Linked DNA regions of Nothobranchius furzeri. The protein of the gene in region 2 interacts with the protein of the main gene of each other region in a pairwise test. Links are inferred from orthologs where the notes say so. Each region holds a gene or a part of one and is shown on either strand. Other genes may lie near its edges.

Region 1 (4,223 bases), on a different chromosome or scaffold from region 2:
GGTCAGGGACGACGTTTGAAAACAAACAAATCATCTCCGTTGCTATAGGTTACGCCCCTTGAGCTGCTTCCCTCTAGAAAAGCTCCTGGGTTCTACCTCACCTCAGACGTGCGCGCACCCAACTGGACCCCGTCGTAAAAACGAGGCCCTCTTCCGCGCGTTGGGAGCTGCGCCACCGTCGTGATGAGGCAGAGACTGAAGGGCAGTAACAGTACTGATCGAAACAGACGAATGTTTAGGGAATGCTAACCCATTCACCGCCGGGGCTGGCAAGAGAAAAGGAGTGGGAATCACGCCAACCACACGGGGGCCGTCAACAAAAAAAAAGCTTTGGTTACCCAGCGCTTCACATATCTTTCAATCACATCAAAAAGGACTTGTACAAAATAATGCTGTGATAGTGTTGCGGACTTCAGGCACACTCAACTCCTATAGTGCGTGTGCGCACAGCGCAATAAAAAAGGGATACAGGAGTTGGTGGTCTGAAGTCCATGTGCTATGGTCTCGTTCAAGCCTTCGAGGTCAGGCTTTCACCGTATCCACCAGCTCACGTTCAATAGAATATCATTTTTCCCTGCAGAACTACAGTTGAGTGCCTTTTTTCGTTCCAAACAAGGTATATATATTAGCTAAGAAAAAGGGGGGGGGCTCTTAAAAAAATGCTACAAACATGAACTCGCTTTAGCACCCGAAACTTTGGAAGTCCCTCCAAAGACTTTAACCTTAAAACCAAAACCAGTGAAGTAGCTCAGCTGCCCACAGAAATGGACCATAAAAGTAATGGATGTCACCTGACCTATAGTTCAACCCCTATTTGGGGGGGAAAAAAGAACACTCAATCTGCTCGGACAGCCAACTCTAAAAAGAACAAAACAAAAAAAAGGTAAAAAGAATCCAGTTTGTCGTCGTTTTACAAAAACTGGCTCCATTTAAGGCATGCCCAACCAACAAGGCAGCAAAGCTGTAATAGCTTAAAAGTCTATTTAAAAGAAATTGACTCAACGTCAATTCACTGCTTTAAATGTCCACGTTTAGCTACGGATGATGTCTGTTAAAACGTTAAGTGTATTACAGCTTTGAGGCATTCCTGGTGAGCAAATGCCTCAACAGAGTCACAGTCTAAGCATTGGCTCTAGTTAGGTGAAGTGTGTGTACTCAGCTCAAGCCTGCACCTTCAGCAGGTTTTTGAGCTCGAAGGCCATCATCTCCCTGTGGTCACAGGACGCTATAGGGAAAGACACCCAGTGACTCGGGGGTTTGGGCAACACGCTAGGTGAGGGGGGCTCACTGAACTTAGGGCCTGCATAGCTCGGGCTGCCCTGGGTTGACAGGAGCGTGTTAAGATGAGACACTGCACCCTCCCAGCTTTCGTAGTTGGTGGCAAACCGGACAGAAGCATTCTTCTCCAAGGACATGGCCTGCCATGCCTCTGGAGATCTGTGGTAGGCAGGGCCTTTGTCGCTCCGACGGTGGCTGTGGTGGTGAAGGGCCCCCGTTCCTCCTACAGATGCTGCTGTGGTTCCGTTCTGGTCACGGCTTCTCTGCTTAGCCTTGCCAAGCTGATGGGCTTTTTTGGGGCGATCCGGGTGGGAAATTGGAATGTTGTACCTCTCTCCACCTCCCATGTTTCACTACTACCTGTCACCTGCAAGACAATTATAAAACGTTACCATTTTCGTTTTTAAAATAAAAGTTATTGCGTAAAAGGCACTCTGCACTGCACCCTCCACAAAAAAACAAGCTGCTGCAGCAGCTACGTGCAGGAGCTGCAGACGTCCAGGGCTGCGCTGCCCCTCCCCCACACACAACCCAGAGCAAAAACACCCCCAGCCAGGCAGCTCTCACCTCTTTGTTGTGAGAGAGTGGACGTGGCTGAGATCCCTCTTTAATCTTTCACCTCCGATCGGTCCCCAGGTCCTCGAAGTAGCTCTCTGTCTACTTCTCGCTGCACTTAGAAGTCCAGCAAGGTCTGAAGTTTTCATGTGCCAATGAGCGTTGTTTTCCCGTGAAGCCGAGCTGAACATCAATTCACCTCGGCGCACGATGCTCCAAGAAGTCGAGAGCCTTAAAAATGCGTGAAAAGGCGTTTTTTAGATGCGCAAACTAGCGACAATAATATACAAAACAAAAGCTACGCACGTCTTTATTATGTAACAAGGCATTAATTAGCTGTAACAATGGTGTACGCCACAATGCGTCATGACAAAGACAAAAACAACACCCCGTCGTCTTATTTCTAACTTCTCAGGGTTTATTGATATAAAAATGAACAAATAAACACAAAATAGCATAAAAACGCATTTAGTATTAATCATTGTTCCAACCACTTACGATGAATTTGATTAATAAAGTTCGATGAAAATATGGCAAGTCGCACTTTAGTTAACTAATTTCACATTTACAAACGCTAGAAACACAAATCAAACGGCTACCCAATCCGTATCGCTGTATTTTGCCACATAACCAAAACAAAAGAAACGGAACTCAACATGGCGACGAGACTCAAAACAGCTTCTCTTACCGACTTCCTCAGGCTTGGTTGTTAAAGCCTTTCTTTGAAAATATTTATGTGGTTAGCCTCTGATTTCACTCCGTGGACTGTGTAGGAAGCACAGAAGTCTATGTTTCCTACAAATCCGTCACCCTTTGAGGCTTGTGTGCTGTTACCGGTGGCCGTCGAAACGCCACTTCTCCCTTCCGTTTCTGATTGCAACAAAATGGAATCTTCACCACAGCTATGTAGTCCGTGCTCGCACGGAGCCAACCAATCACGTAGGGAATGCGTTCCGAGCGACCAATTACAGGAGAGGTAAGCGGACGCGCTCGAGCCTGTTGCCAGACTGCTGACGTCAATGGCTGACCCTCCTCCCTCCCATTCCTTTGTTGGAAATGGTTAGGGTATTTCCGGGTATTTCCTAAGAGAAGTGACAAAACAACTCAAAACAATCACTCTCGATGACGAAAATCTCACGTTTACAAGCAAAAGAGCAAGTATGAAGTGTCCCTGTGGTACATAAAACACCGTATATTAGCTTCAAGTCGACAGCGCAATCGTGTTTTGTTATGCAACAAGATAAATACAACAACCTTTCAGATTTAACTGTTTTTCTGAAACAGAATGCCACTGTTTGTTTGTTTTTTTGCGTTTTGTGGGTTGAATCTGTTCTTCAGCTCTGACCAGTTGCAACAGGATGTAATAACCATAACACAAGACATAAACCAGTGACTGTAGAAAACTATGACACCACCCATCCCCCAACGTTGGCTCAAGTTACAATTATTTCACCAAAACTCTTTTTCAGATTCTCAATCCAGGTTTGATTAAGAGTGCTATAACAGCCACCTGAATGTTTTAAAAAAAAGTGTTTTGGAATAAATAAATAAATAAATAAATAAATAAATAAATAAATAAATAAATAAATAAATAAATAAATAAATAATACGGTTGAGAGAGCTGCAGCATTGCAAAATTACATTTTTGGCAAGGGAATGGACAAAAAAAAGCCTACAATAGCCATGAAGTATCAGTAAGAAATGTCACATACTTTTTTGAAATAAAAGAAAATGGCAAAGATTTTTGCATGTAGCCTATATTTGAGTTGGTTCGATGTAAGTTTGACTTAAAGAGACAATAGCTATGTTTACATGGGGACAAGTAATCGGAATGAATGCCCTATAAGATCAAAGATTATTCACGTAAACATGTCAATTGGAATATTCTGATCCGATACAGCTCATTTGGAATGAAATTCCATTGAGATAGGTGATTTTGTCCAATCAACACTCCAATTGACGTCCATGTACACTCATTTGGATTCTTGGGGTAATGCCCACTGAGCATGTGTGCAACTTTGGCGTGACATTTTTCCGCTTCTGCAGACGCTCAGGACAAGTCAAAAACATGACAGGAGGCGAACAGAAGTTATCCTGCTCCCCTCTTCTGTGGAGGAAATGGTGTTACGTACCGCTGAGCCTAGCTTAGTTAAAGTGATAGGTAAAATCTAAAGCATCGGATAATTTCAGTTAGTGTCCATGTAAACAGAGATTTGGGATTTCTGAACAACCAAAATTTGAATTGGATGGGGGAAATTTGGCGCATGTAAATGTAGCTAATGGGTTGTTCTTGCCGTTAATCTCTGGAAATATCCCTTTAAACATTATTGAAAATTAATAAAATGATGTCCAGTTGTTGAAAAATGTTAGCGGCATGGTACCATATAACC
Region 2 (3,657 bases):
ATACTTATAATAACTCCATAAATAGTCTTGTCTCCTTCTGTCAGCTGAAGGTGTTTCATGATGTTTTATCAGAGGCACCTGGGAAGATTTGTTACTGAGAAGATGAGAATGAGCTTTGCGAGTTACACAGTCGGCTGTTTGCATGTCTCATTATGCAGCGGTGAATTACCTGCAACCTTGAATGAAACATAAGCTGTCAGACCCAAGTGGAGTCGCTGTCATAAAGGGGAAGATGCATGTCATAAAAAAACGTAGTAATCATTTGTTAACTTTTAGTTTTCTTCTGTACGCGACTTCTAAGCATCCACGGCTCTGTGAGCACAGGGAACCGTCCTCTGTTGGATCCAGCAAAAGGAACGGTCATGAGGAAACCAACAGTCACCATGGCAATAACAAAAACCAAGATGCTATGTTTTAATTTTCTCCATCTTAGATCCATTTAGAGTAGGGAATGGAGTGTTCCTGGCTGCCAAATAGCTTGAATCTGAGCTGGATATTGGACTCAAAGAGTAAAACTAATAGATTTCCTTCCTTTTCAGGTCACAATGACTATATGTGCCCAGCGACCAATCAGTGTACTATTGACAGGAATCGGAGGAAGAGCTGCCAAGCTTGTCGTCTAAGGAAGTGTTACGAAGTGGGTATGATGAAAGGAGGTGAGCAGAATAACCAACTTAATGGATTTTTTTCATCACTTTTATTCTTTTTTGCAATTTTATAAATTTGTTGTTAAATTCTGGGCTCATAATTTTGATTGTTTAAGTATTTTTAGCAGTTTATCATCAGATTCTTCTCATAATAGCTGAAAACTAATTGGTCCATCCTGGCTCTGCTCAGTGCTCGATAGCATAAATACCAGAGCGCTGGTGGAAACAGATAAACATGAACTTTAACAAGACCTTGAAAAGATTTGCTTTTAAGGAGTACGAGTGCTGATTACTACGCATCAACGTTTTTGTTTTCATACCTCTCGAATCGTTTAGCTATCTGTGTAATCTGCAAACTAGATGTTGTGGTTCGACAACTCTGAGCGTGTTTGTCTGCTGTGTCTCCAAGGTGTGCGCAAAGACCGGGGTCGCGTTCTGCGGCGTGACAAAAGACGAGGCGGCGACAGAGACAAGGTTGGTAAAGGCGTGGAGCAGAAAGCAGCAACGCATCATGATGGGAGAAAACGCAGCAACAGCAGCCCGGGTGGAGGAGGGAGATCTTCAATGAGCAGTCTTCCTCCGGAGCAGGTGCTGATTCCTCTGGAGAAAACAAGAAGTCTTCTTTTCCATTTATAGATACGTTTGTTCTTTCCGTCTCCAGGTGCTCCTCTTGCTCCAGGGTGCCGAGCCCCCAATTCTCTGTTCCCGTCAGAAGCTGAGCCGACCCTACACCGAGGTCACCATGATGACCCTGCTCACCAGCATGGCTGACAAGGAGCTGGTCCACATGATCGCCTGGGCTAAGAAGCTTCCAGGTTTGAAAACAGAAAGATTTCTCCCTTCACTCAAGGGAAATCACTAAATTATCGATAACGCTTCACAGTAACGTTACTTAGTGCATTAATAAACAAAGTGTCCCTTTACTTAATTCCTGATATTCCATCCATCTTCTGAACCCGCTTTGTCCACGTAGGGTCGCGGGGGGGCTGGTGCCTATCTCCAGCAGTCAACGGGCAAGTAGGCGGGGTACACCCTGGACAGAGAGCCAGTCCATCGTAGGGCAACACAGAGACACACAGGACAAACAATCACACACACACACACACACACACACACACACACACACACACACACACACACACACACACACACACACACACACACACACACACCTGAGGACAATGTAGAGAGACCACGTTTTTGGACTGTGGGAGGAAGCCGGAGTACCCGGAGAGAACCCACGCATGCACAGGGAGAACATGCAAACTCCATGCAGAACGATCCCAGGCCGGGAATCGAACCCAGGACCTTCGCGCTGCAGCTCTAACCACTGCGCCATGTCTTTTAGGTTCGGACAAAGGGCCAGGGGGTGTTTGTTTAGGAATGCATTACTTAATAATAACATTAATATTAAGCAGCTGTTAATACTTTATTTAATAGTTTATTCATGCTTAATAATGCAATAAGTAACATTAATAAAGGCACCCTTATTGTAAAGTGTTACCAAATGATCTATAATTAGTCATAATAATGTAGTCATCCATTTACAACTAATAAACCCAGTTTTAATATCAAATAAAGTTAATATTAAAGATATTTGCCTTTTGTTTTTAGACTGACAGAAGCTTTTCTTTTAGCAAATAAATTCTAAAACAAGACCAGATTTGCACGTTTAGCACCTTTTTCACCTTTGCCGCTCCCAGGCAGGCTGGTCATCTTGACTGCAGAAACTTTTTCCTACAAGAGGAGCGTTTTTCTTAGACCTCTTTCATTTAGCCAGAACAAGAAAGGTCAAAAATGACCCAGACTGGATGTTAGTGAGATCACCACAACCATCTGGTCGCAGTGTGGTAACATTTCAGACTGGTTAAGTATTTTCTGCCTTTTTATTTGATTTTTGTCTAATTAATATTGGATTTAATATCTAGAATTGCTCAGAAAATCTGTATCACATCAAATGATGCAGATTCAGTTAGCTGGAACGACAGCACGCATCCCAAACCGCAGAAAACACAAGAGCAATACAGAGTTCATTGGACTTTTTTTTAAAGGTGTGGATCACTGAAAAAACCTTTATAGTGATTATTTCTGATTATATTTGGTCACTCTGAGTTTTTCATGCAGGTTGAACAAGAAAATAGTCTCCTACACCTATCTCCTGCGTTAGCTTCTGATAGAAAACAGACGGTGAAACTCTAGGATTAGAAAATCCTGACAGATCTACGTCACACTGTTAATTAACATTGATAGACTCACCCATCTTTACTCACGACGGGGAAGGCTGTTGGTTTAGCGTCCAGGAAACAGCCGAGAACGTCTCTGCTAGTAGAAGCTAACCATTAGCATTAGCAACTCCACCACATGGCAGGAATCCTCCAGGCTTGTGTTATTTGTGGAGATAAAACATCAAGGTTGTAAATGGAGTCAGCGGTAGAGTTGCTATTAGCCAGTCAGAGGTGAGACTTTCAAATTTCAGGAAGGAATACTCCAAATCCTGCCGTCTGAAGCTCTACTTGGGTCTGGCAGTCGTCCTGAAACAGGCGCACCAGGGCTTTTTGTACCCCGAGTACGACTTACAAGGCATTCATTCCTACTAAAGACCAGTGCAAATGTATTTCTTAAATGATTGAACCGCACCTTTAACAGTTTCTATATCATTATCATTTTCAATCCTGTAGTTTAGTTGATATGATTATCAGTTTTTGTCAGGTTTGAATGTCCGTGCACAGATTTATTATGTATCAGGTCTTTGCTCTCTGTTGTGTTTTTATTTTATGTCTTTTGCCACCATAACCTTTAGGGTAACAGCGTGTGCACGCGCGCGCGCGTGCGCACGCACACACACACACACACACACACACACACACACACACACACACACACACACACACACACACACACACACACACACACACACTCACACACACACACACACACACACACACACGTAGAGCCATTAAGGTGAAGGTAGTTACAGTCATCACCTTTGAGAGGATTGTTTAGTCAATCT
Region 3 (3,101 bases), on a different chromosome or scaffold from region 2:
ACATGCAGCCACCCTTATCGTACATTATGCCAATGGAAACGCAGCCAACTGATGCCATCTGGTAGAACTACTTGGCACAGCACGGCCCTCTATGGTTCCTCGACATATTGGGAGTAGTTAAAATTAACACTGTTTGGCAGAAACAGACACTGAACTCTTTGTTACTGTGCCTATTTCAGTATCCATCCTTACCTTTAGAGCACAAGCAGCAGGAGCGTGGAGGCTTAGCGTGAAGACCGGCACGGCGCTGCAGAGAGCAGACCGAGTCTCTGCTCCGTTATCCAGATTCATTCAATCATTTGATTCTCAAACTAATTTGATGAATAATTAAACAAAGAAATTACAGAAATTTTTATTTCACCTTGATCAAAAGGACAAAAACAAACATTTTAAATAAAAGAGAACTAAACAGCAGTTTTCACTTTAATGTTGGGATGTAAAACTTGTAGATGAGTTGAGTTTATAGAGACTTAATGGACCGTTCTCCATGGTCCGGTCCAGCTGGTAGAACAAAGGATCCGCGGCCCACTTTTAGACCACTTACATGAAAGAAAAATAACACACACACACACACACTCACGCACGCACGCACGCACGCACACACACACACACTTTCAAGTTCCTAGTTAACTCAAGCTGAGAGCTGATGTTCAAAAGCCTGAAAATACATGATTTATTTCTTACTTATATCAAATATTTGTAGCAAAAACAAAAATAAAAGAAATAACAGATCTATGAGCCCAGAACTGCTGCTCGGAACTGACGAGAAATTATATTACAGAGTCCACCACGCTTGGTCAGAGCAGGTCCATGAGCATTTCCTCCTCTATCACACTGGAGACTTGGGACATCCCGGGCTGGGGCACGGGTCCCCTCTGACCTCCGGACATCAGCATCTGACCTGCACAGAAAAACACAAACAATTCTTTCAAAAGCCCCGCTTGTATCGCGTAACACCCAGAGTTTTACTCATGACATGGTGCGTTAAATATGTTCAAGGATTTTTAAACCAGCTTTTGACCTGCGAGGATTTCCTCTGCTGCCTGAACGTCCATCCCTAACAAACACAAGAATTTATTAAAGGCTTCTTTTATTGAAGATGCGTCTACTGCCCCATTTACAAAAGATGCTAAAATAATAAATAATTAAATGATAATTTTAACAGAATATAACCGAACTGTAGCAGAAAAGATCTTTCATAGTGTTTTGATTTTCTTTGTTCTAACAATTTTTATTAATAAAACTATGTAGCTAATCATCAGCCAAACCACATTATAGGGATGGGCAGTAAATGGAAAATGTATCATTATCAAAATTCTTCCCATGTCAATACATTTGATAATAAAAAATGAAAAGATGTGTGTGGGTTGGCAACGTTCAGGTCCCTTTAAGAAGCTGTATCACCTTAAAAATGTGACTCAACGTAACACACGTGACAGTCCCATCTAGTGGACTACTTAAGTTTCTGTGCATACCTGTAGTTATCGTCCATTTATCGTTATCGAGGTGAAATGCTCAATATGTCGTGATATTGATTTCAGGCCGTATCGCCCAACCCTACGTGACATAAACCAACCTGGCAGCTAGATTGGCTGCTTTGATGTTTAAATCTGTATATAAACAAACCAGTACTAATACAGCTTTTACAGTTCATGAGTATATTAGGATTATGCGACCAGTAAAGTATATGTGGAGCAAACGGAGCGATAAAAATAACCAAAGATTATAAAAAAGAAGAAGAAATCTTTCTGCAACTGAAGCAGAAAAATCTTAATTGAACTGCTGACCTGTCATCGGCTGCCTCCACTGGCCTTGCATTTGAGCCCCCCCTCCTGGTGCCGAGTGGACCAGCTGCTGTCCTAAGCCTTGATGGGACATCATGTTTGGCATGTGAGACACCGCATTCTGCTGCAAGGACACAGAGACATAAGCGGAGCGTTAACTTCGCCCGTAGAAGCGCAGAGTAAAAAAATCATGACTCAAAACAAAGAAGTAAACTCCAGCAGCTGTTCTTACTGGCTGCTGTTGACTCAGGAGGAGGCTGCGAAGCTGTGGATTGGCTCCGGGGTTCGGAAGTCGAAGTATGGAACCCGGAGGCTGTCCGCTCTGAGTGACCTGATTGGGCGGAGCTCCGCTAACCGCTGGCTGCTGATTGGCTGGTCCGGCTGCTCTCATCGTCATCTAAAAACATTTCAATCAGTTCATCAGATCTTGCAGCTCGTTAGCATCCCATACCGACACGAATCACACAACTACCAAGGAGCAACGCTGCAATAAAGTCTTTATAGCAGACCACCATCTAAACCGTTAAAAACATTAACTTTAACTCGCAAATATTATGAAACAAAGATTTTTGTTAATTTTATGTGTATTCGACTTCATTTTCCAACACTTTCTTCTTTCACTGTTTGCTTTACCTGTGTTTACCTAACAGCCTTGATCCAAACTTAGCAGAGGAAACACAAGCTGCTTCAGTAGGAGGAGCTTGTTTCTAATCAGCTGAATGGAAACGTCTCCTGAAGACCTACTGCAGCGCCACGAGCAACGTACTGCGTGTATGAGAAGCTGTTAAATGTCATATAACTGGATCCAAAAATGTTTAATAAGCTTTTATATATATGTATATATATATATATATATATATATATATATATATATATATATATATATACATATATATATATACATATATATATATATATATATATATATATATATATATATATATATATATACATATATATATATATATATATATATATATATATATATATATATACATATATATATATATATATATATGTATATATATATATATATATATATACATATATATATATATATATATATATATATATATATATATGTATATATATAAGTAAAACTAAAAAAATAAAATAAGGTGACAAAGTTGATTCATTTTAGGAACTCAACCTAAAAGCTGGAACTAATATACGAGGCAGACTCGTTCCATCCAAAGCCAGATATTTCACGTCTTTATGCTATAATTGTGATGATTATGGTTTACAGCTTATGAAACCCCCACATTCAGAATCTCAGATAATTAGAATATTGTGAACAGGTTCAATGCTGTGGGTTCA

The links.
Region 1: the proteins of esr1 (region 2) and pnrc2 interact in a two-hybrid assay, tested with the Homo sapiens proteins (2 studies listed by BioGRID and IntAct). The link is inferred for Nothobranchius furzeri from reciprocal best matches to the Homo sapiens genes ESR1 and PNRC2.
Region 3: the proteins of esr1 (region 2) and med25 interact in a two-hybrid assay, tested with the Homo sapiens proteins (2 studies listed by BioGRID). The link is inferred for Nothobranchius furzeri from reciprocal best matches to the Homo sapiens genes ESR1 and MED25.

What each region holds. Positions count from the first base shown.
Region 1 is NC_091745.1:69,954,595-69,958,817, forward strand, and holds pnrc2 (proline-rich nuclear receptor coactivator 2), read right to left. Parts: upstream 2,710-4,223; 5' UTR 2,522-2,709; intron 2,065-2,521; 5' UTR 1,846-2,064; intron 1,646-1,845; 5' UTR 1,626-1,645; coding exon 1,161-1,625; 3' UTR 620-1,160; downstream 1-619. UniProt on the Homo sapiens protein: Involved in nonsense-mediated mRNA decay (NMD) by acting as a bridge between the mRNA decapping complex and the NMD machinery. May act by targeting the NMD machinery to the P-body and recruiting the decapping machinery to aberrant mRNAs.
Region 2 is NC_091742.1:2,861,477-2,865,133, reverse strand, and holds part of esr1 (estrogen receptor), read left to right. Parts: intron 1-539; coding exon 540-656; intron 657-1,056; coding exon 1,057-1,235; intron 1,236-1,308; coding exon 1,309-1,462; intron 1,463-3,657.
Region 3 is NC_091745.1:8,252,976-8,256,076, forward strand, and holds the end of med25 (mediator of RNA polymerase II transcription subunit 25), read right to left. Parts: intron 2,182-3,101; coding exon 2,017-2,181; intron 1,909-2,016; coding exon 1,788-1,908; intron 1,058-1,787; coding exon 1,022-1,057; intron 902-1,021; coding exon 798-901; 3' UTR 615-797; downstream 1-614. UniProt on the Homo sapiens protein: Component of the Mediator complex, a coactivator involved in the regulated transcription of nearly all RNA polymerase II-dependent genes.